2 linked regions of the Anolis sagrei genome follow. The protein of the gene in region 1 purifies or fractionates together with the protein of each later gene. This does not show direct contact. Links are inferred from orthologs where the notes say so. Each region holds a gene or a part of one and is shown in the gene's direction. Other genes may lie near its edges.

Evidence for each region.
Region 2: the proteins of RPA2 (region 1) and RAD52 purify together in Homo sapiens (affinity purification with western blotting; 3 studies listed by BioGRID and IntAct, with this or other methods). This does not show direct contact. The link is inferred for Anolis sagrei from reciprocal best matches to the Homo sapiens genes RPA2 and RAD52.

What each region holds. Positions count from the first base shown.
Region 1 is NC_090034.1:86,978,381-86,990,441, reverse strand, and holds the start of RPA2 (replication protein A 32 kDa subunit), read left to right. Parts: upstream 1-6,856; 5' UTR 6,857-6,945; coding exon 6,946-6,961; intron 6,962-8,899; coding exon 8,900-8,994; intron 8,995-10,719; coding exon 10,720-10,821; intron 10,822-11,873; coding exon 11,874-11,987; intron 11,988-12,061. UniProt on the Homo sapiens protein: As part of the heterotrimeric replication protein A complex (RPA/RP-A), binds and stabilizes single-stranded DNA intermediates that form during DNA replication or upon DNA stress.
Region 2 is NC_090025.1:178,592,685-178,604,885, reverse strand, and holds the start of RAD52 (DNA repair protein RAD52 homolog), read left to right. Parts: upstream 1-5,961; 5' UTR 5,962-6,147; intron 6,148-12,201. UniProt on the Homo sapiens protein: Involved in double-stranded break repair. Plays a central role in genetic recombination and DNA repair by promoting the annealing of complementary single-stranded DNA and by stimulation of the RAD51 recombinase.

The sequences.
Region 1 (12,061 bases):
TGGCCTAATACTGTGTAGATCCCCTGTGCCGGCCGAATATTGTGTAGACCTCTGTGCTGGCTTAATATTGTGTAGACCTTAATATTGTGTAAACCTCTTGTGCCGGCCTAATATTGTGTAGACCTTTGTGCTGGCCTTAACACTGTGTAGACCTCTTGTGCCGGCCTTAATATTGTGTAGACCCTTGAGCTGGCCCCCTTTGGATTGATAGATACACAATAGACCAACGGCGCTGACCGCCGCTGTGTATACCACCTCCGGATGTCCCATCCGCTCTTAGACCAACCGTCTAGAGGTACACCTGAATCATAATAATTTTATTTAATTGTTATTACCATTATCCTCGTAAGAGTGTGACTATATACTACTATCATATCACACTCCTTGGTTGTCCCCGCTGCTAGTTGATATAAGAACACAACAGCACTTTAGGGCGCCTGCCACTTGCTGCTAAACACCACTTGCACTTACGCCCCCTTCCCTATCCCTCTATGCCGCACCTTAGTGAATGCTGAGACCCAGTTTCAGGTACCTACTGCACTTTAGATCTTGCACTTTATGTATGTGCCGAACGGAACGCAGTGTGTTGTCAACCGAGTGGTACTACTGACTGTGTCGCACTTAAGACTCTTGCACTCTCGCACTTTACAAACTATCTAACGGGTGTGGCTGAAACGCCTCTACCATCTGAAGCTATTGTCATCCATGTGGCCCCCCCACCCCCCTGGTAGTACTGTCCCTGTTACTACTAGTTAGCGGAAAGGTCAGGGGAGGAGGTGGGCTGGAGCCCAATGGGGCCGGGAGGAGGGAGGAAGGGGAGAAAGGGTGTTGGCAGGATCCAACAAATCATACAGCTGATGAAGCAGGAATTAAGTCCTTGATATTAGATCGCGGCATGGAGGGGGGGAGGTGTTCCACTAGCCGAGGGGCCCCCATAGAGGTCGTGGTGGGAAGGAGGAGATGCGGAAGAAGGAGACCTCGAATTCGGCCTAATTCGGACCGCTTATCTAAATTAACAATTCCCAACCGGTCTCCTAAGGTAAATTGGTGTAACCAGGTGAGCGGGCCCTCGGGATTGAAGGTGGTGCTGCTGAACGCCAGATCTGTCAATGGAAAAACGACCTGGATTCAGGACCTAATCCTGGAGGAGCGGGCAGATCTGGCGTGCATTACGGAGACCTGGTTGGATGAAGCTGGAGGTGTAAATCTGACCCAGCTTTGTCCTCCAGGCTTCTCCGTACAGCACCAACCGAGATCCGGAGGACGGGGAGGCGGGGTCGCAGTGATCTATAGAGATTCCATCCATCTGACCAGGAGCCCCATCCCGCAGACCACAAATTTTGAATGCGTCCACCTGAGGGTGGGTGACCGGGACAGAATAGGGATTCTGTTAGTGTACCGTCCACCTCGCTGCACTACAGTCTCCCTACCTGAGCTAGCGGGGGTGGTCTCGAGCCTGGCGTTGGAGTCCCAACGGCTTCTTGTGCTGGGGGACTTCAACATCCATGCCGAGGCGACCCTCACAGGAGCGGCTCAGGACTTCATGTCCGCCATGGCAACCATGGGGCTGTCCCAACAAATAACTGGCCCCACCCACTGTGCTGGACATACATTGGACTTGGTTTTCTGCCAGGGATGGGAGCAGGGTGGCGGTGTGGAGGAGTTGTCCATCTCTCCGTTGCCGTGGACTGACCACTTCCTGATCAGATTTAGACTCACTGCGCCCCCTAACCTCCGCAAAGGTGGAGGACCCATTAAGATGGTCCGCCCCAGGAGGCTTATGGATCCGAATGGATTCCTGACGGCTCTTGGGGACTTTCCCGCCACCTCGGTAGGTGACCATGTCGAGGCCTTGGTCGCTCTCTGGAATGGGGAGATGGCCAGGGCAATTGACATGATCGCTCCGGAACGTCCCCTCTCAAGTAACCGAGCTAAACCATCTCCTTGGTTCACTGAGGAGTTGGCAGCGATGAAGCGAAGGAAGAGGGAACTAGAGAGCGTGTGGCGCTCAGACCCAAGCGAGCCAAATCGAGCACGGTTTGTGTCCTTTTTAAGGGCATATGCCGCGGCAATAAAAGCCGCAAAGAAAACTTTCTTTGCGGCCACTATTGCGTCTGCAAAAAACCGTCCGGCGGAGTTGTTTCGGATTGTCAGAGGTCTTTTGACTCCCACCACCGCAGGTGGGAGCCCTGACAATTCGGCCACGCGCTGTGAAGCATTTGCTCGGTTCTTTGCAGACAAAGTCGCTTTGATCCGTTCTGGGCTGGACACCACATTAAATGCAGTCTCTGTGGATGTGACACGAGCGCCTGCTTGTCCTATTTTGATGGATTCTTTTCAGTTTGTGAAGCCCGAGGATGTGGACAAGATACTTGGAGGAATGAGGCCCACCACGTCCATCCTAGACCCCTGCCCATCCTGGCTTCTGAGGGAGGCCAGAGGGGGATTGGCTGAGTGGGTAACGGTGGTGGTTAATGCCTCCCTTCGGGAAGGCAAGATTCCAGCGAGCCTAAAACAGGCTATTATAAAGCCGCTGTTGAAGAAACCATCACTGGACCCCACTAAATTTGACAACTTTCGGCCTGTTTCCAATCTTCCCTTTTTGGGCAAAGTCATGGAAAGCGTTGTGGCTTCACAACTCCAGGTACTCTTGAGAGACACGGATTATCTGGATCCGGCACAGTCTGGTTTCAGACCGGGACATGGTACCGAGACGGTCTTGGTCGCCTTAGTGGATGATCTGCGCCGGGAGCTAGACAGGGGGAGTGTGTCCCTGTTGGTGCTCCTGGACCTCTCAGCGGCCTTCGATACCGTCGACCACGGTATCCTTCTGGGGCGCCTTGCGGGAGTGGGTCTTGGGGGCACTGCTCTGCAGTGGCTCCAGTCATTCCTGGAGGGACGGACCCAGAAGGTGTTATTGGGGGACTCCTGTTCAACTCCACAGCCTTTGACCTGTGGGGTTCCTCAGGGTTCTATCCTGTCCCCCATGCTGTTTAATATCTACATGAAGCCGCTGGGTGAGATCATCCGGAGTTTCGGGGTGCGGTGTCATCTGTACACAGATGATGTCCAGCTCTGTCACTCCTTTCCACCTGCTACTAAGGAGGCTGTCGAAGTCCTGAACCGGTGCCTGGCCGCTGTAATGGTCTGGATGAGGGCGAACAAACTGAAATTAAATCCAGACAAGACAGAGGTACTCCTGGTCAGTCGCAAGGCCGAGCAGGGTATAGGGTTACAGCCTGTGCTGGATGGGGTCGCACTCCCCTTGAAGGCGCAGGTTCGCAGCTTGGGTGTAACCCTGGACTCATCGTTGAGCCTGGACCCCCAGGTTTCAGCGGTGACCAGGGGAGCATTTGCACAGCTTCGGCTTGTGCGCCATCTGCGCCCGTACCTTGGGAAGTCTGACTTGGCCACGGTGGTACATGCTCTGGTCACATCCCGTCTTGACTACTGCAACGCTCTCTACGTGGGGCTGCCCTTGAAGACGGCCCGGAAGCTGCAGCTAGTCCAGCGCGCGGCAGCCATGTTGTTAACAGGAGCAGGACGCAGGGAGCATACAACGCCCTTGTTGTTCCAGCTCCACTGGCTGCCGATTTGCTACCGGGCCCAATTTAAGGTGCTGGTGTTATCCTACAAAGCCCTAAACGGTTCCGGCCCAAAATACCTTGCGGACCGCATCTCGGCCTACGAGCCCACGAGGACCTTGAGATCATCTGGGGAGGCCCTTCTCTCGATCCCGCCTGCCTCACAGGCACGTCTGGCGGGGACGAGAGAGCGGGCCTTCTCGGTGGTGGCCCCCCGGCTGTGGAACTCCCTCCCTGCTAACATCAGACAGGCCCCCTCCCTCATGGCCTTTCGTAAGGGCCTGAAGACTTGGCTCTTCGAGCAGGCTTTCAACTAAATGCTACGTTACGGGTAATGACAACCGGATTGAACTATGACTACGAGATTGACTATGATTCCATAAATATGACGGAGCGGATTTTTAGTGTAAGTTAGATGTTATGTATTAGTGATGTTAATTGTTGTTCTGATTCCTTTGTAAAGTGTCCTTTTTGTACTGTACACCGCCGCGAGTCGCCCTAGGGCTGAGAGCGGCGGTTAACAAATGCAAGAAATAAATAAATAAATAAATAAATAGTTGCTGGGATTTATAGTTCACCTACAATCAAAGAGCATTCTGAACTCCACCAATGATGGAATTGAACCAAACTTCCCACACAGAACCCCCATGACCAAGAGAAAATACTGTCTCCTGATGGTCTTTGGCGACCCCTCTGACACCCTCCTCGCGACCCCCAGGATGAGAAACACTGCCACAGATCTCTTAGAAGCTTACCAAAAGGTCAAGGTTTTCCCTTGACATGAAGTCCAGTTGTGTCCGACTCTGGGGTGGGGTGCTCATTTCCATGTCTAAGCTGAAGAGCTGGCATTGTCCATAGACACCTCCAAGGTCATGTGGCTGGCATGACTGCATGGAGAAGCCTACTAGCCTCCCTATAATAATAATAATAATAATAATAATAATAATAACAACACTTTATTTGTACCCTGCTACCATCTCCCCAAGGGACTCGGTGCGGCTTACATGCCGAGCCCAAACACAACAATACAAGCAATAATCACAACAATACAAGCAATTAAAATAAAACATAAACATATAACATTATCAATAAGACTGTGCCAGTACAGCTGTACCAGAAGCTCCCATTTTGTTTGCTTTGCATTGAATGTTTGTTATAGTCCCAAGTTTCAGGGACTCTGCAGATAGGTGGCTTCTTTTGGCTGCAATCATAGGGCAAGCCACCTGTCAATTATTGTTAGGTTCCCTGGTCCTGCCCCTTTTTGAGTTTTGGAGGGAATAGGAGCCTTTTTGAGTCAGTTCTCACAGAGAAGCCTTTCGCACAGGACATAAAACGAAGAGCTCCTGTAGAAAGCTTCATCTTCTACGGCTTGGCCGGGGAGATATACAGCCTACAGCTTGGCCAGGGTTATACAGCCCACAGCTTGGCCGAGGATCATACAGCCTTTCAGCTCCTTTGCTGAGGGACTTCAGCCAGCCATCACAGCAACCTGAATTCCTTCTTTTCCCCTGGAAGTCTACAAAGCTCTGTTGGGGCAAGGGTCGCTTGTGGAAGCCAGATGCAGTTGGTACCGGGTGCAGGGGCTCCATGCCAACAGAGGCAAAGACAGACTGCCCAGATTGGAAGTTAAGGATTTCCCCATTAGTTATTATATAGTTATGAAGATAGTGCCTGTTCCCAGTGAACAAGATTGCAAGAGCCTATAGACTGTTATGAAAACTTTTAAGTACCTGTTTGTTTTTTATCAATAAATAACTTTGTTGGACTTACTTTAAGCCTCTACAGAACTTTGGGGGGGTCCAAGGGCCTTTAATCTGAGGCAGCCCCGGCGTCCCGTTGGGCACACAGAATTTATGTCCTGTCTACAGTCATATGCAGATGACACCACTCTGATGGCCGAAAGCGAGGAGGAGCTGAGGAGCCTTCTAATCAAGGTGAAAGAGGAAAGTGCAAAAGCTGGGTTGCAGCTAAACATTAAAAAAAACAAGATTATGGCAACAAGAATGATTGACAACTGGGAAATAGAGGGAGAAAATGTGGAGGCCGTGGCAGACTTTGTATTTCTAGATGCAAAGATGACTGCAGATGCAGACTGTGGCCAGGAAATCAGAAGACGCTTACTTCTTGGGAGGAGAGCAATGTCCAATCTCGATAAAATAGTGAAGAGTAGAGACATCAGACTGGCAACAAAGATCCGCCTAGTCAAAGCCATGGTATTCCCTGTAGTCACCTACGGATGTGAGAGCTGGACCTTAGGGAAGGCTGAGCGAAGGAAGATCGATGCTTTTGAGCTGTGGTGCTGGAGGAAAGTTCTGAGAGTGCCTTGGACTGCGAGAAGATCCAACCAGTCCATCCTCCAGGAAATAAAGCCCGGCTGCTCACTGGAGGGAAGGATACTAGAGACAAAGTTGAAGTACTTTGGCCACATCATGAGGAGACAGCAAAGCCTGGAGAAGACAATTATGCTGGGGAAGGTGGAAGGCAAAAGGAAGAGGGGCCGACCAAGGGCAAGATGGATGGATGGCATCCTTGAAGTGACTGGACTGACCTTGAAGGAGCTGGGGGTGGTGACGGCTGACAGGGAGCTCTGGCGTGGGCTGGTCCATGAGGTCACGAAGAGTTGGAGACGACTGAACGAATGAACAACAACAACTACAGTCATATGCACAGGCCCAGCGCGCGACAGCACAAAGACAACAAAAACCCGATGGCTGAACTGTAAAAGGATGCAATTTCGTGACGCGCCCACAAGATGGCGCCAAAACCCCACATTGGAGCCGCAAAAGGCGCTTCTACCAAGGGTGCTGTTCTCGTTGTGTCCACTGGAGGGAGGCAAAGAGAACGGCCAGTAGGGCATTGCAGTGCTGCTCAGGAAGAAGCTCATTGGGAGAACTAGCCATCTTCTGCGCTGCCTGGGGATAATGGGGACTGATGTCCAACACAAGCCCCTCAGGAGAAAGAATCAAAGGAGGCTGAGCCATCAGCCCTCCATTGTGACGGAACTAATAACCAATTATAACAGGCACGGGCAAACTTGGGCGTTCCAGGTGTTTTTGGACTTCAACTCCCACCATTCCTAACAGACTCAGGACCCTTCCTGAGGGCCTGAGTCTGTTAGGAATGGTGGGAGTTAGTCCAAAACACTTGGAAGGCCCAAGTTTGCAAGGCCTACCTTATGAAGAAGCTGATTGGCGGCTCGCGGTAGGGGCGGGGCCTGTAGCTGGCCTATCCCGAGCGCTGCTTTTTGCGCGCGCCTTGCTGAAGAAGGAGCGCATGCGCCAGGGGAGCCCGCTGATTTTCTTTTGCCGGTGGGACAAGGTTGCCATTGCTGCGTGTCGCGGACTTTCTTCATCGTCGCGGGATGTGGGCCGGGACCGGTGAGGGAGCCGAGAGGAGGGAAAGCGGGGCCGAAGCAAGGGAAGGCTGTGGGGGGGGAGGAGGAGGAGGAGGAGGGGGGGAGGGGGCTTCTTTGAACATGTCTGAACTCAAGGGAAATAGTTGAAGCCCTCAAAGGCTTGAGGCCTAGATGTCGGGAGGATGGAGTGCCCCTCCATTGAAGGGCCTGCTTGAGGTCTTAGGCCTGGTGGAGGGGTGGCTTCTCCTTGTGCTCTTTTCAGAGCAAAATACTGTGATTTGGGGCCTTCTGGGAATTTTAGTTTTTGAAAAGACTCTTACAGCAGGCATGTATAACTATTATACTATGATTCTATGACAGGCCTGGGCCAACTTGGGCCCTCCAGGTGCTTTGGACTTAATAGTAATAATAAAACTTTATATATATCCCCTCCCATCTCCCCAAGGGGACTCGGGGCGGCTTACATGAGGCCAAGCCCAACAACACATCAGTAAAACAAGACAGCAAGCAAATAAAACAGTACAATTAATATAACTCACATATAAGCAATAACACAAAAAATTAAAAATGTATGGCCATAAATAGATTAAAATTTTAAAATAAACACTACGCGAACAGAGGTAGGATGTCTCTAAGCAGAAGGGTTTTAAAGGATAATGTAGGAGATCAACCCAATGGGTAGTTAAGGTGCTTCTGAGGACATTTTGCTGGGAATTGGTCAGAGCAAGGCATCCTTTAAGCGGCTGAGAGGGAAAAGGAAGGGGCCTGAGGCTGTTAGGAATGGTGGGAGTTAAAGTCCAAAACACTTGGAGGGAGGGCACAAGTTTGCCCATGCCTGGTTTAGAGGGCATGCTTATCAAGTTTCCAAATGACACCAAATTAGGAGAGATAGCCAATACTCCAGAGGACAGGATCAGAATTCAAAATTACCATAACAGGCAGTGACAGACTTTGTATTTCTAGGTGCAAAGATTACTGCAGATGCAGACTGCAGCCAGGAAATCCAAAGACATTTACTTATTGGGAGGAGAGCAATGACCAATCTCGATAAAGTAGTGAAGAGTAAAGACATCACACTGGCAACAAAGATCCGCATAGTGAGGAAGACCGAGCGAAGGAAGATAGATGTTTTTGAACTGTGGTGCTGGAGGAAAGTCCTGAGAGTGTCTTGGACCCTGAGAAGACCCAACCAGTCCACACTTCAGGAAATAAAGCCCGACTACTCATTGGAGGGAATCTATTAGAGGCAGAGATGAAGTACTTTGATCACATTTAGTGCCCAGATCGAGGGAAGTCATGGTGCTTCTCTATTCTGCTTTGGTCAGACTTCACCTGGAATACTGTGTTCTGGTCACCACAGTTTAAAAGAGATATTGACAAGTTGGAAGGAGGGTGACTAAAATGATTGAAGATCTGGAGACCATGAATCCCTATGAGGAGTGTCTTGGAGAGCTAGGTATTTTAGCCTGCAGAAGAGAAGGTTATTTATTTCCTAATGGAGACTCAAAGTGCCTAAAATTACAAATCATACAATTAAAACCCACAGAAGCAATAAAATAGAAATAACCGGACTTTAAAAAAAAACATGGTAAAATCACTTAAAAACCTGTTACTCACGTAACATAATTGTAAGTTAATAAATAATTTTAGCATGTATATTTACATTTGTGTGTTGTTTTTCTTGCCTGCCACCTGAGATTTCTGTACAGAGGGCATGCTATAAATATTTCAATTAATAACTGAATTCCTTTGCCCAGCTCTTGATGTCGCAGGTGGAAGTGTGACATCTGGCCTGCACCCATCTGCCATCTGTCAGAATGTGCAGTTGGTACTGATGGATACACTTTAACCTGTTTCTGATCTATTTCCAATTTGCTCCCTACTCTTAAACCCCAGAGACTGAGAAGTATGAAAGTAACTTTGCAGCTTTGCCCTATTATTTTTATCTTTTGAATTTCAGGTGGCTATGACAGTGCATATGGGGGAGGAGGAGGATATACACAATCGCCTGGAGGCTTTGCATCCCCTTCTGCGACACAAGATGAAAAGAAATCGGTAGGTTTCAAGGTGCAGGTTATGACCTACAAAGCACCTATCTTTGTGACTGCATCTCCCCCATGAACTGGTGTGGGTCCTTAGATCCATTGGGGAAGCCCTCCACTTGCTCCCACCATTTTCACATGCACAGTTGGTGGCGATGAGGGAGAGGGCCTTCTTGGTGGTGACCCCACAACTTTGGAACACCCTCCCCAGGGAGATTAGGCAAGCCCCTACACTGTCCTCCTTTCATAGGGATCTGAAAACCTGGATGTTCCAACAAGCATTTGGGAATGACTAGTCTCTACTTATAAATGCCCAGTCCCTAGTTCTCCAGATAGTACTCTGTTCTCGGCACTTTTCCCAATCCCCGACCTTATGCTATGCTGTTTTGCACTATCCCATGCCCAGTCCTTTTTATAGCCTGATCAGGTCCATCTCAGTATTTTTAGTTATCGTTTTTTGTCATTCATTTTTTGAACGAGTCTTAATGCTGTTGTTTCATACCTTAATGTTTTACTTAATTGTGTTTTTATCTGATTGTTATGCTTTGCTATGTTTTATTTTAATCGTGTTTTTTGTTTTAATGGATTGTTTTGTTTTGATGTTTTGTGGACATTTTGTCCTATGTTTACGCCGCCCCAAGTCCCTTCGGGCAGATTGAGGTGGGGTATAAAAATAAAATTGTTGTTATTATTATTAGCTTGCATGAAAAAGCCAGGACTTCTTTTCGAAATGGGAATGGAGGTTTTCCTTTGAAATAGTTTTCTTTTTTTCTGAAAGCATGGCCTTATAAGATGTTGAGGCATAAAAATAATTCCTTTTACGGAATAACATGTTTGTGTTATTCCACTGAGCACAACACATTAGTATTATTTGTTTTCAGAGTTAATTGTTAAGGGTGACTGGAAGAAAACAGATGGGATAAATGTTTCTGAAACTTACGTAGTTCTCATAATTTTACAAAAATATTGACATAGCTTTTTTTTGTTATCCTGGATTATTTGCTGGCATGTTCTGGCAATAGCTGCCACTTTTTGTTTCTTCTGTCTGATTGGATTTTTTTAAATTCTAAGATATATCAAATCAAAAGCATATTTGTTTTTGTGACTCATGCAGTGCTTTGTGGAAAATTTTTCCAGTAGTGTGGACATCGGCAGCAGGATGAATATAATGGCTGCTCTCTGTCCCACCACCTTTGTAGGTGCAACTGGTAGGGACGAGAGGCAGGACCTTTTCAGTGGTGGCCCCTCGACTATGGAACTCCCTTCTAGTGGGATTCGGTCAGCCGCTTCCCTCTTGGCCCAGCATAATTATCTGTGCAGTACAGTTGGAATTGGCCCTGGATTGATGAATATGATTATTTGATTATCTGGCTTTGGATCTATGCACAATAGTAATCTAATATTTACAAATCCTAACACCTTGCTGTATATCTTAAGAATGTGGTTGTTGTTGTTGTTTTTTTAAGAAACCCTCATAGAAAGGAGTGGTGCCATTTCAAATCATAAGGGCTTATCTTTAGTTCTCATTCAGGAATTCTCTACAGCTTTAGTTAATTGTTGTGTGGATCACTTGGTTGCATCTTGTCCAGTGATGATTATTAAAAATACAGTATTTCTGATATTCTTGTGTCATTTTTCTTCTGCTTCTCTTTTAAATTGATTTAAAACCTGTTCTAGACTATGTGTTCTTTTGATAGAGGAAGTAAAGATTTTGAGTTTTTATATTTCCTGATTACAGAGGACAAGATCACAAAGTATTATTCCTTGTACAGTGTCTCAGTTACTTTCAGCTGAACAAGTGGATGATGCTTTCAGGGTCCGAGAAGTTGAACTTTCACAGGTAAGCATTCTCCTTCCCACACTATTATTTATTTATTTACGACATTTATATGCCGCCCTTCTCACCCCAAAGGGGACTCAGAGCGGCTTACAAGTAAAAAGTAAATACAATATATTATATTATTATCATAGCACAATATTAATATTATATATTACACTGTACTATAACATTATACTGTAATATTATTAGTAATATTACATTTAATATAAAATATGTAATATACTATGGAATCAATGGGCCTGGGGAAGTCTGTGTATTGTGCTAGCCATCTGGATTCTTCTACCAAAGAGGATTAAATTGCAGTAGTAACATGTACACTCATTTATAAATCAACCTCATGTATAAGTCAAGGGCAGATTTTGGGTCCAAAATTATGGATTTTGATATGATCTGTGGATAAACCAGCATCTCCTTGCCCATACATTCAAAAGGGTAAGAAGCATTTTCACAGCAGAAAGAGAAGATGCAGTCAGTGTTTCTTTTAGGTTTTCCTAGGAGGGAATAGTTCTTTTTTATATAACTGCTAGCGCTGACCTGTGAATAACTTGAACCAGGATTTGGGGGCTGATTGTTTTGACTAAAATTTCTAGACTTATACATAAGTATATAGGGCCTCCTGGTGGCGCAGCAGGTTAAACAGCTGAGCTGCTGAACTTGCTGACTGGAAGGTTGGCGGTTTGAATCCGGGAGTGGGGTGTGTTCTTGCTGTTAGGCCCGGCTTCTGTCAACCTAGCAGTTCAAAACATGCAAATGTGAGTAGATCAGTAGGCGCTGCTTCAGTGGGAAGGTAAAGGCACTCCATGCAGTAATGCTGGCCACATGACCTAGTAGGCATCTACGGACAACGCCGGCTCTTCGGCTTAGAAATGAGATGAGCGCACTACCCCCAGAGTCAGACATGACTAGACTTAGGGGAAACCTTGACCTTTATTTACATGCGTATATACATAATATAACATGCAGAAAGCAAGAGTTTTAACCTGAAATTGTTTTTTTACAACACAGTGTGAGATCAATCAGTAACTGGTTGTATCTGGGTTTATTTCTTGAAGGTTCTTATTGTGGGCATAATCAGACAAGCTGAAAAAGCGCCAACAAACATTCTATATAAAGTGGATGATATGACTGCAAGCCCAATGGATGTGAGACAATGGGTTGACACAGATGTAAGTATCTGCTGGTGTTTGTATGGTTAAGGAGAGAAGCCTATGTGGTGTATTGCTTAGAATAGGGTTTGTTA
Region 2 (12,201 bases), on another chromosome or scaffold:
TACCAAGAACATCCCATGATGGGTTTGCCTGAGATTTGCCATAAGTCAGAAGTGACTTGAAGGCACACTTTTTCTCACCACATACAGTGGAAAAACTGGTAATGCTAACTGCTGAAGACACATTCACCAGTACCCAGGAGCCTCTTACATGCAATGGCAAGACAGCCTTTCCATTCTATTGCACCATCATCCTATTGTAACCAGTTCTAAGGGAACCTTATCCTGAATTACCGGAAACTAAAGACACTAAGAAAATTGTGCTTTCTTCCACAAGACTCTCTCAAACCATTTCAGACACAACATATGTGAAAAAAGAGAGCAACTTTAAAAAATGGGGAACTTTGGAGGTCAAGCAGCACTTTCTAGTATCTGTCCTGGAAACTGAAAGTTAAGATTTATATATTGCACTCAAGTTGAAGAATTTCACTTAGTGATAGGAATCAATCACTTTATAATGTTGATAAAGTAATTACTGGATAGCTTATTGTCTGCACAAATAATGATATAACACTACAATTCTTTACATTTTACTAAACATACAGGATTCTTTTGTTTTGTAATGCTCTTATTTCATTCTCTTAATCTAGCTATTTCTTACTTCATTATTTTAACAGCATCTGCTGTACTGTCTGTTCTAACATCACAATTCCAGGTTTCACAACTCCATAAATAAGATTCCCCAAACCTGGTGCCCAGATATGATGGACTACAAATACGACCACCCTTCCTAAAAATGTCCATGCACAGCATGGACACAGCTAATACAAAAAAAAAGAGCAATACTTTTTAAAACGTAAAGCTCAGCACTTTTCCCTAACTGCTCTAACATTCTTTCCTTCAAATCGTTTTTTTCCTTTTGTATGTGTCACTTATATATTATAAATTTAACATGCATCATTCTTTTGCTAGAAATAAAGGTTTGCTGCACACTACCAATTCATTAATAGAACAGGAAAACTGTTCAAGATGTATACAATAAAATTAAATATATGTTCTAAAATTATGTTGACATTAGAGACATATGCTCTAAAGATTTTGGTCATATAGCACATCTGAAGAATTCAAATCTTCAAGTCAGATCTGCGGTGCTGGACAATTAATGAAGAATCATGTAATCAGAGTAGAGGAAGGCATAATCAAGGAATGACTTTCAGGAATAAGCACAGCATAATGAATCAGAGAGGAGTGGCTAAAGGAACGGTAAATGAGTCCTGGAACAGAAGCCCTCCCAAGTGAGATGTAAGGAATTTAGAAGCACAGGATCAACTGTGCATGATACAAGTTTTCATTAAGTACTATATGATCTTTGTATCTGATGGGAATAAGGCCATCAACCCTGTGGGCAACTGAAACTGTGGATAATGAAGCATATATTTTGACTATACTTGGGCCAAAAGGAAATAATCGAATCTGACCAGAGAACTAGGAGGGCAATACTAAATATTAAATACTGAATCTGTGGATAAAGGGATCATACTATATGAAACAATTTACCTATTGCAAACCAATATGGAAAGAGACTGCATCAAAACATGATATAAATTATTTAAAATACATAATTGAGATCATTTTAGTTGTTTTTTTTCCCTTTTTGCTCCATCTAAACCAGGCACAGCCAAACTTGGGCCCTCCAAGTGTTTTGGACTTATTTATATCACATACTTGTATCCTGCCCCTCTCACCCTATAAGGGGACTCAGGGCGACCTTACAGCAATTCCTACCGGCTATTGGGAATTGTGGGAGTCTAAACTATACAAAACTGAATTAAACCCAAGACCAATTTTTGACTGAGGATGGGTTGAGAATGGAGATGAAAATAATATCTTTCTGCAACTAGGAATACGTATTTTTGAAAGCATGATACAGCCCAGTGCACCCAGTTGGGGAATTATGCACTCTAGCTAGCAATAGTTCAAGGCCTCACCACAGCACTTTCCCCAAGGTTACTACCCTGAGATTAAAAAAAAAATCCTAGAAATTACCAAAGCTGACTGTCAAAATCCAAGGCTGCAAATTAATATTTCAGTTAGTTTCACAGCATGACGGCCACCCCATTCCATTAGAAAGAATTACCAGAACAAGGCAGTTTCATAATCCAATCAGAATTAAGGACAAAACGGAATTATGAAAGATAAAACCATTGCACAGCATTCTTCCTCGCCCTATCCACTATCTCAAAGAATATCTAATCAGTAAATGCTCCCCTCCATACCAGCAAGACTGCTTCCTACATGCTTGTCATCCATGTGCCAATTTCATAGAATCACAGAGTTGAAAGAGACCTCATGGGCCTTCCAGTCCAACCCCTGCCAAGGAGCTGGAAAATCGCATTCAAAGCACCCGACAGATGGCCATCCATATGCTTAAAAGCTTCCAAAGAAGTAGCCTCCACCACACTCCAAGGCAGAGAGTTCCACTGCTGAACAACTCTCACTGTTCCGAAGTTCTTCCTAATGTTCATGTGGAATCTCCTTTCCAGTAGCTTGAAGCCATTGTTCCATGTCCTAGTCTCCAGGGCAGCAGAAAACAAGCTTGCTCCCTCCTCACCATGACTTCCTCTCACATATTTGTACATGACCATGATGTCTCCTCTCAGCCTCCTCTTCTGCAGGCTAAACATGACCAGCTCTTTAAGCAGCTCTTCATAAGGCCTGTTCTCCAGATCCCTGATCATTTTAATCACCCTCCCCTGGACACATTCCAGCTTGTCAACATCTCTGGAATTGGACACAGTATTCCAGGTGTGGTCTAACCAAGGCAGAATAGAGGGGTAGCATGACTTTTCCCTGGATCTAGACACTATACTCCTATTTTACAGGCCAAAATCCCTTTGGCTTTTTTTTGCCGCCGCATGACATTGTTGGCTCATGTTATTCACGAGGACTCTAAGATCTTTTTCACACGTACTGCTCTTTCGAGCCAGGTAACCCCCATTCTGTATCTTTACATTTCATTTTTTTCTTCCTAAGTGGAGCATCTTGCATTTGTCACTATTGAACTTCATAACGTTAGTGTTGGCCAATCGTCTCTCTAATTTGTAAGGTATGGGAGGAACATTTATTGAAGCTAAACTCAACACAGCAACTTCTCAGATGTGAACATTCATATGCCCCAAAGTCACTCCACTTTAAATCCAGATGGTGCCTCCTGCAGAATTCTGGGGTTTGTAGTTTAAGGAGGCACCTTTAACAGCCTTACTAAACTACAAACTCCAGAATTCTGCAGGAGGCAGAAATCGGATTTAAAGTGAATTCATTCTCTATTGTGATGATGTAGCTAGAGCAGGCATGGGCAAACTTGATCCCTCCAGGTGTTTTGGACTTCAACTCGAACCATTCCTAATAGCCTCAGGCTCCTTCCTTTTCCCTCTCAGGGAGGCTGTTAGGAATGGTGGGAGTTGAAGTCCAAAACACCTGGAGGGACCAAGTTTGCCCTTATTTATTTATTTAAAAAAATTATATCCCGATCTTCTCTACCTCTGCAGAGGGACTCGGACCGCCTAACAGCAATGATTCAATGCTAAAACTGAAAATCTAAAACATGATACACAACATTAAGTTACCAATTACATATTACATAAATTACATAAAAGCCTTTCGCAAAGATAAAATCGTGTCCAACTCAGTCCGTATGTCCAGTCCATATATTGTGATCAGTACCATTAGGTTCGAATCTGGGGAGAGGCGGATGAGCTCCCTCTATCAGCTCCAGCTCCTCATGTGGGGGCATGAGAGAAGCCTCCCACAAGGATGATAAAAACATCAATTCATCCGGGCGTCCCCTGGGCAACGTCCTTGCAGACGGCCAATTCTCTCACACCAGAAGCAACTTGCAGTTTCTCAAGTCACTCCTGACATGACCAAAAAAAAAAAGTACCATTAGTTGATTGCCGGTGTGAGACATCGTTCCACAAAAGCTTTGTTGCACAGCCAGGTACCACTAGCTTCCTAAAGGTCAGGAGAGAGGGGGCAGATCTAATTTCATTTGGGAGGGAATTCCATAGCCGAGGGGCCACCACAGAAAAGGCCCTGTCTCTGACCAATAGGAGGCATCGTCCCGCCTTTCTCGGCCTCCTGACACATTTCATACCTGCCTTAATGTATGAAAAGCAAGGCATATTCTCACACCAATTGATTGTTAGCGGCAGGCAGAAAGCTCCCATGGTTTCCCAGAATTGAGAATGATTAGACTATAAAAAACAACAACAAAACCCCAGTAAAACAGGTTTGTGCCCCTAAAAGTATTGTGTCTCAATAATGGTTTCTAAAACGAGGAGTAGGCTTTGGAGAAGGAGGGAGGATGGAGCGCCAGAATATCTATCTGAAGCAAAATGGCTTTTTGTGAAAACAGAGAGGGGGGGAGAAGAGCCGAGGAAAAGAGGCAGGTAGATGATGTATTCCAGGAAGCCATGCCTGGCAACCGGGTGGGGCGCAGGGAAAGGAAGAGGCAGAGAGATTATGAGGAAAGGAAGGGGGGAGGAGAAGAGAAGGGCTCCCCTTCAAGGAAAGGCGATATTAAGAGGACTCCCCCTTGAGTGTGGCCTCCATGGAGAGAGAGAGAGGGAGGGAGGCCTTGGGGCAGGAGAGGGCCTGGCTCCAGCTGGCCAGGCAAGGCCCCGCCCGACCCCCTTCCCTTCCCCTTGCCTCAGCTTCGAAGCCACACAGAAGGCCCAGCGGCTAACAGCCTACCTCCTGCCCCCGGCCAGCTGTAGCTCTCCAAGCAGGCGCGGCTTCCCTTCCTTTCGATCCGAGCGGCGGAGAGGCTCCTCCTTTTACCTCAGAGAGAGAGAGCCGCTCGCGCCCTGGCCCCCGGCGGCGGCGCGAGACCAGCCAGGCCCCGCCCCCTCCTCCTCCTCCTTCCCTGCCTTCCTTCCGTCGGCGCGAGAGACCGACCGTAGCCCCGCCCCCCTTCGGCCCAGGCGCGCGCCTCCCGCTCGAAGCCCCTCCCCCTTTCTTCCCTTCCTCCACGAGCCAGGCCCCGCCCCCTCCTCCCTCCCTTCCTTCGGTGCGAGAGACCGACCGTAGCCCCGCCCCCGTTCGGCGCGAGCCTGAGCCAGGCGCGCGCCTCCCGCTCGAAGCCCCTCCCCTTTTCTTCCCTTCCTCCCTCCCTCCACGAGCCAGGCCCCGCCCCCTCCTCCTCCTCCCTCCCTTCGGTGCGAGAGACCGACCGTAGCCCCGCCCCCCTTCGGCGCGAGCCTGGCCCAGGCGCGCGCCTGCAGCTCGAAGCTCCTCCCCCTTCCTTACCTCTCTCCCTCCCTGAGCCAGGCCCCGCCCCCTCCTCCCTTCGGCGCGAGCCTGGCCAAGCCGCGCGACTTTCGCTCGAAGCTCCTCCCCTTTCCTCCCTCCCTCCTCGAGCCAGGCCCCCTTCTCCCTCCCTCCCTTCGGCGCGAGAGACCGGCCGTAGCCCCGCCCCTCTTCGGCGCGAGCCTGGCCCAGGCACACGCCTCCTACGCGAAGCTCCTCCCTCTTTTTTACCTTCCTCCTCCCCCTCCCCTTCCTCTCTCCTCTATTCGGCGCGTGCCTGGCCCAGGCGCGCGCCTCCCGCTCGAAGCTCCTCCCCTTTTCTTCCCTTCCTCCCTCCAAGAGCCAGGCCCCGCCCCCCTCCTCCTCCTCCTCCTCCTCCCTTCCTTCGGCCCGAGAGACCGACCGTAGCCCCGCCCCCTTCGGCGCGAGCCTGGCCCAGGCACGCGTCTCGCGCTCGAAGCTCCTCCCCCTTTCTTTCCTCCCTCCTCCTCCGCTCTCCCTCCCTCCCTCCCTCCCACCGCTCGACCGCTTCACTCCAGACTTATGCTATTCACCTACCTCCACGTTTCGGCTGACGTATCCTTTCCTTCTCCCCCCCTTCTATTCCTCATCCACTGAGCCTGCCAATCATTTTTTCAGAAGCGCCCTCATTGGTCCGCTCTGACCAATAGGAGGCGTCTTCCCGCCTTTCTCGGCCTCCTGACACGTCTCGGGTTCCTATGCCATCTTCCCCCCCTTTCCCATTGGAGGGCGAGGAGACGTTTCTGCGCAAGCGTCGGTGAGCACCCGCGGGAAGTTTGTCCAATCTAGCTCGCCGTACCCGTCATCTCTGACTAAGGCTTTCAAAAGAAGGAGGCAGCGAGGGTTCCCTCCCCGTTCTCTCAGCCCGTCTCTCCCGCTCAGGTAACGGAGAAGAGGACATTACACCTACATTTAGGCTCGAATTCAGTGGGGAAAGGCTTGGGCTTTTGGAAAATGGCATTCATAACCTTTTGGAGATTAAAACTTTTTAAGGAAAGCATGACCATTCCCAGAAGAGCCAAAAACTCTTTAGAGTAGAATCTTCTCTTGTGATATACAACCAGGTGTAATTATACTAGGCAATGGTTTCAGTTGTTAGACTGAATAACCTGTTACCTCTGATCTGTTAGGAAAACAGAGATTTGCCAGTGCATAAAAAGGACACTGAAAAACACTTCTGAAGCACTGCTTTTTTATGCACTGGCAGATCTCTGTTTTCCTAACAGATCAGAGGTAACAGGTTATTCAGTCTAACAACTGAAACCATTGCCTAGTGTATATATATACATATATACTGTCCCATAAAGCAACTTGTTTATATCATGAACTCAAGAGACAAAAATGAAGTAGACTTGGATAAAAAATAACATAGTTGGTTTACTTACGGCCTTCATATGTTCAGCATACACAGCTACACAACTTATCAGTCCAGTTTCAGATATGATTGAGATAATTCTCTTTGCCATCTGGAGCCAGGACATCTGTTACAGCAAAACAGCATGCAAGTGTGTGATCCGACGTCTGAAGTCTTCTAAGGAACTAGAGAGTAAAGGAAGCTGCACACCAGAACATATATACAGGAAACAATAAGCAACAGGATCATAGATAAACATTATTAGAGAAGCTCAGTTCTTGTGGGGTTTTTTCGGGCTATATGGCCATGTTCTAGAGGCATTTCTCCTGACGTTTTGCCTGCATCTATGGCAAGCATCCTCAGAGGTGAGCCATAGATGCAGGCGAAACGTCAGGAGAAATGCCTCTAGAACATGGCCATATAGCCCGAAAAAACCCACAAGAACTGAGTGATTCCAGCCATGAAAGCCTTCGACAATACATTATTAGAGAAGGCTTGAAGAAAGTTGTCATTTCCAACATGGGGCCCTTTCAAGCTTCAAAGCTCCTTGAGATAGTGTGGGTTATAAATAAAGTATTATTATTGTTATAAAGTTAAAACTATGTCATCGCATTTAACTGCCACGGTTCCATCTTAGGACCTCTAATTTCGGAAGGGCCACTTTGAATTCCCAGTCAGGGAGCTCTAGTGTCATTGCATTGTTGTTATTATTATTATTATTGTTGTTGTTATTATTTGATACACGACAAGATTAGTACACAGCAAACAAGATCACTGTGCTGGTTTTTGTATTTGATAACACACCAGACACTTCCCAAGTGTCTAGGACAGTGTGATGTATCAGCAAATAATGTGTGCAGATCCAAGTTGGGTGACCTTTTGCAGCTGACAGCTGGTAATTCTGTCAGTCCTGATTGTTTTTAAATGCAGGCCAAGGTCTTTAGGCACCCAGTGTGCTGATCATCACTGGGACCACCTTTACTGGCTTGTGCCAGAGTCTTTGCAGTTCTATCTTTATCATCATCATCACAGGATTCTGTAGGATGCAGCCATAAGTGTAGTTTGACACCACTTTAACTGCCATGACTCTATGTTATAATAATAATAATAATAATAATAATAATAATAATAATCCTTTATTTGTACCCCGCTACCATCTCCCGAAGGACTCGGTGTGGCTTACAAGAGACCGAGCCCAAATACAATAGTAAAAACAACAGCAACAACAGACAGCAAAATAACTCAGAAAACAAAGCAATAACATTGACAACACACAATGACACAATTAAAAACAATGGCAGTGCCAAATGTAATAATTAAAATTAAAAGTGCTGGGCATGACCAGGTGGAGTGTTTTGGAGGGGGATGGGCATGCAGATATCCTAGATCTCTGATAAAGTGTGTTGGGACATAATGCTAGGAGTTTCCTATTCTGGGAAGGCACACTGGAACAACCACGTTATGGAATCATGGGAGTTGTCATTTTGCAATGACATTAGTCTTCTTTGCCAAAGGGGACTGATACCACACCAGACTACAAATCCCAAGGTGCCATAGCATTAAAGTGGTGTCAGACTGCATTAATTCCACAGTGTAGATGCACCCCATGACAGTTACAGTGGGGTCATAGCGCTATAATTGGGTGCTGTGAAGGCACCCTGAGCCTTAACATTTTCCACATGTGCCTTTTATTCAGTCAAGCCGTAAAAGTTATAAAGGGATACATGTGGTATTGGCAGCAGCAAACCTTGCAGAGCTTCCAGCTTTGTCATAACTCTAAAGCAAACTCCACAGCATATTGTCGGCAGTGTTAGTGCAGAAAGGTTTGCGATGGCCTTCCTCTGAGGCTGAGAGAGAAGGTTGCCCAAGGTCATCCAATGCGTTTTATTGAGCTGGGATTTGGACCCAGTAGTCCAGAGCCCAAACCACAACACTGTGCTGGTCCTTCCCAAAGGGAAATTGTTAAAATGAAAGCAGGACATGGTTGCAAGAGAGTCAAACAAAGTGACATCTTTTGTGTTCAGTTTTAAGTGCAGTAGTAGCCACAGTTACTGGACAGCATTAGGCAAGGAAAATGACATGTAATGACTGGCATCCCCAGCAAATCTTTCCAAGTACAGCTTCCCCTCCAGGAAGCCCTATGGGGCACATTCAAACTAATCTTTGAATGCACTTCAAAGGCAGCCTGACAGCTCAGTGTTTATATGATGCACACCACGATTAAGCCCTGCAGTGCACTTTAAGGGCTTTAAACTGAGATAAAGTTGCAGGATACTCTGAAATATAGCCCATAATGTGTGTCAGCACGTGTGGGCGTAATTTTTAACTCGCTCTTTCATAATGTGCACTTGTGAAGTTCTTTGGCAGTCTGCACATATGCAATTAGGGAGGGCCGAATTTTAAAAAATCTTAGATTCTCCCCAGTTGTCAAGCTGCAGACATTGCAGATTCTGGAATCAATTTGATAAGCACCACTTAGGCCTTGAAGCAATATTAGGATTTTCTACATCCGCACACCAAAAACTGCTTCCATCTCTGCTGGTTTCACATGTAGTCTGTAGATGTGACCAAGGAATGTATTTCCAATGAGGGACCTACTCCATTTTTCTTTATACTCCAGAGTGAAATCCCGTATAGCAGCTGGGCCCATCACAAACAACTGTGGATGGACGCACAGTGAATCATGCTGCACCATCTGAGTATTAAACAATAGCAGCAACTTTGCCTTTACCTGATAGGCAGTTCCCCAAAAAGCAGTGGAAAGTGGCTCCAGCCTATTTCAGACTATTTCCTAGGTAGCAGGAGAGTGTTTCACAAAAAGGAGGATTATCCCAGGAAAGACCCCCCCCCCACACACACACACCTCTGTTCCTTTGAACTTTTTGAATTATAGGTAACCTAAACTCATTAATTTTCCATGTGACCAAAAAAGTGAACCACACTGTAAATTAATAAATTCCAGTTATTACTGAAAAGGTTTGAAAGAGAAGACAATTAAAAAGTGAGGGATGCCTATATTTGTTCAGAAAATTATGCATTACAAAATAAAACTTAGTTTAAACTGAATACTTAAATTATGCCTTCTTTTCTTGGTAGTTAATCAGTTCTAAATTGACTGTGACCTTAATTCTTTTGCAGCCAAAGAAAAATCCTAGATAGCTGTTATATATTCTGTAACACTCAACCAGGCAAGAAATGTAGATTATCAAGATTCAGGTGTCCCACAAGCAGCAAATTGGCAAGACAAACCATATTATCACACCAGGTCTTTAAAGCGGGCAACCCGGCATTTCTGCCACCTGCAGAATTCTGGGAAATGTAGTTTGGGAAGGTGAGGACCACTGTAGCTGAGAATCCAAAAGGCTCCACCCTAAACTACATTTCCCAGAATTCTGCAGGTGATAGAAATGCGGGGCAGTCCGCACTAAAGCCCTGGTGTGATAATGTCACAAGTTGTGTTTCCCTAAAAGATTCACAACCTGTGTGGTAAAGTCTTGCGTATGGCCTAAGACGACTTCAGTTCTGAGCTATGAGAAAAATGAGAGGGAAAAGCTTCAGTGAAACCATAATTTCAATTAATGACTTTCATAAGGCCTTCATTTAAAATAGTGCTGTATTCCTCTCCTAAGTAATGCATCTAATGACAACTGCTTTAAAGAGTACCATATTTCCCATCAGACTAGTGGTTACTGAAAGAATGAGTAAAAGGGAAGCAAGTGTAATTACGGATATCATAGTCCCTTCATCATAAATATTCTGCAAACAGCTTTTATTACTTCTGGGAAATGGCCCAAGTAATTATTCAAGGAGCTTCGGAATTTGCGTGTGTGTAAAATCATCAACGGAGGCCTTATTTGCCAGATCTTTCTGGTTTCTCATCTTAGCACTTGTTTAAGAGATATGTTTATAATTCTTAATTAAGAAAATATGTTACATAAGAATAAAAAAGCAAAAATACATGTAAGAAACAATTCAGGTTTAATAGACTCTATATAAATGTGGCCACAACCCACTTGTAAAATTTTATATGCGCTACCATGCTTTGCTGCCAATGACTATGCAAAGCGGACAAGTTTTGGAACCTGCAAATGAGTTACTGGTATATTAATAAATGTAAAGTTAATTAAACTAATAAATTTATAGTAATCATAATTACTACTTGTTTTAATTAAACAAGAAATATTTTATTGATTGTGATGTATAATTGATTGTTTTAATTGTTTATAATTGTTTTAATTGCTGTTTATATATGTTTTATTTTTATTGTTTGTGTAGGCATTGAATTGTGCCTTTTGTAAGCTGCCCTGAGTCCCCCCTCGGGGGTTGAGAAAGGCGGGGTAGAAATATGCAAAATAATAATAATAATAATAATAATAAATGCATTCTACATGAACATGGGTTCGGTGTGAATCAAAAATGCAGCTTTCATGTTTGAAATCATTAGGAATGGAACTGAACATTAAAATGCTAACATTTTTCTATTTATTTAAATCAAATAACAATATTCTAATTGTGTGTTGTTTTCTTTTGTCCTTAATCTAAAATAAAATTTGAGGACAGGGGTAAACACTTTGAACTTTTTTTCCTTGCCAGTCCTGTTGATAAGCTTTCTTCTTCTTTGGTATCTAGTGTAATCCTTTCAATTTATACTTTTGTTAGCAAATGGAGGCAGCTTCCAGTAACTGCTTTCCCTTTTGTTCGGGGAAGCAATAGTCTTGATCAGCTACATGAAAATGAGCAGCTGTTGTGTGGCAGTGCTCTAAAAATACATTGATTACATCAGTAAGTTAATGTTTCTTATCATTCTCTGAGGTTTTAGCAAAAGTGTCTGATAACTTGTACAACAGAATTACATTCAAGCAGTTTCAAAACAGCAGGTTCTCTGTTACTGAATGATACATATTCTGAGTTGACAGAAATGCTATTCTCTCTTCTTTAGATTATCAATGGTGAATGCAAATAATTTATAATTTCTAAGTAATTTAGATTATTTATTTTATTTATTTGTGATATTTGTATACCGCCCTTCTCAACCCCTAAGGGAACTCAGAGCGGTTCACAGTGTTGGTCACAATTCAATGCCATTGATAAGAAACACTATAAAACATCAAAATTGATCCTCCCCTGATTAAACATTATTGAACACATCACATAAAATAAGATCACACATCACACAAAGACATAGCCGTTAATCCGTAAACAGTTCTGGGGCATTGCACTTTCAACTTTCACTTTAAGTATTCCTATGATGGGCTGAACACTTGGCATATAGCTGTCAGGTATATAGCTGTCTCCTAAAGGTCAAGAGGGAGGGGGCTGACCTGATCTCACTCAGGAGGGAGTTCCACGGCCGTGGGGCCACCACTGAGAAGGCCCTGTGAGGCCGGTGGGGTCAAGAGCAGCAGCTTCCCAGGAGATCTCAATCTACGAGCGGGTTCAGAGGGGGAGATATGTTCGGACAAGTAATTTGGACCGAAGCTTTTTAAAGCTTTATAGGCTAAAGTCAGCACTTTGAATCGTGCTCGGTAGCTAATAGGCAGCCAATGGAGTTGCCGCAGCAGGGGGGTTATATGCCTCCTGTG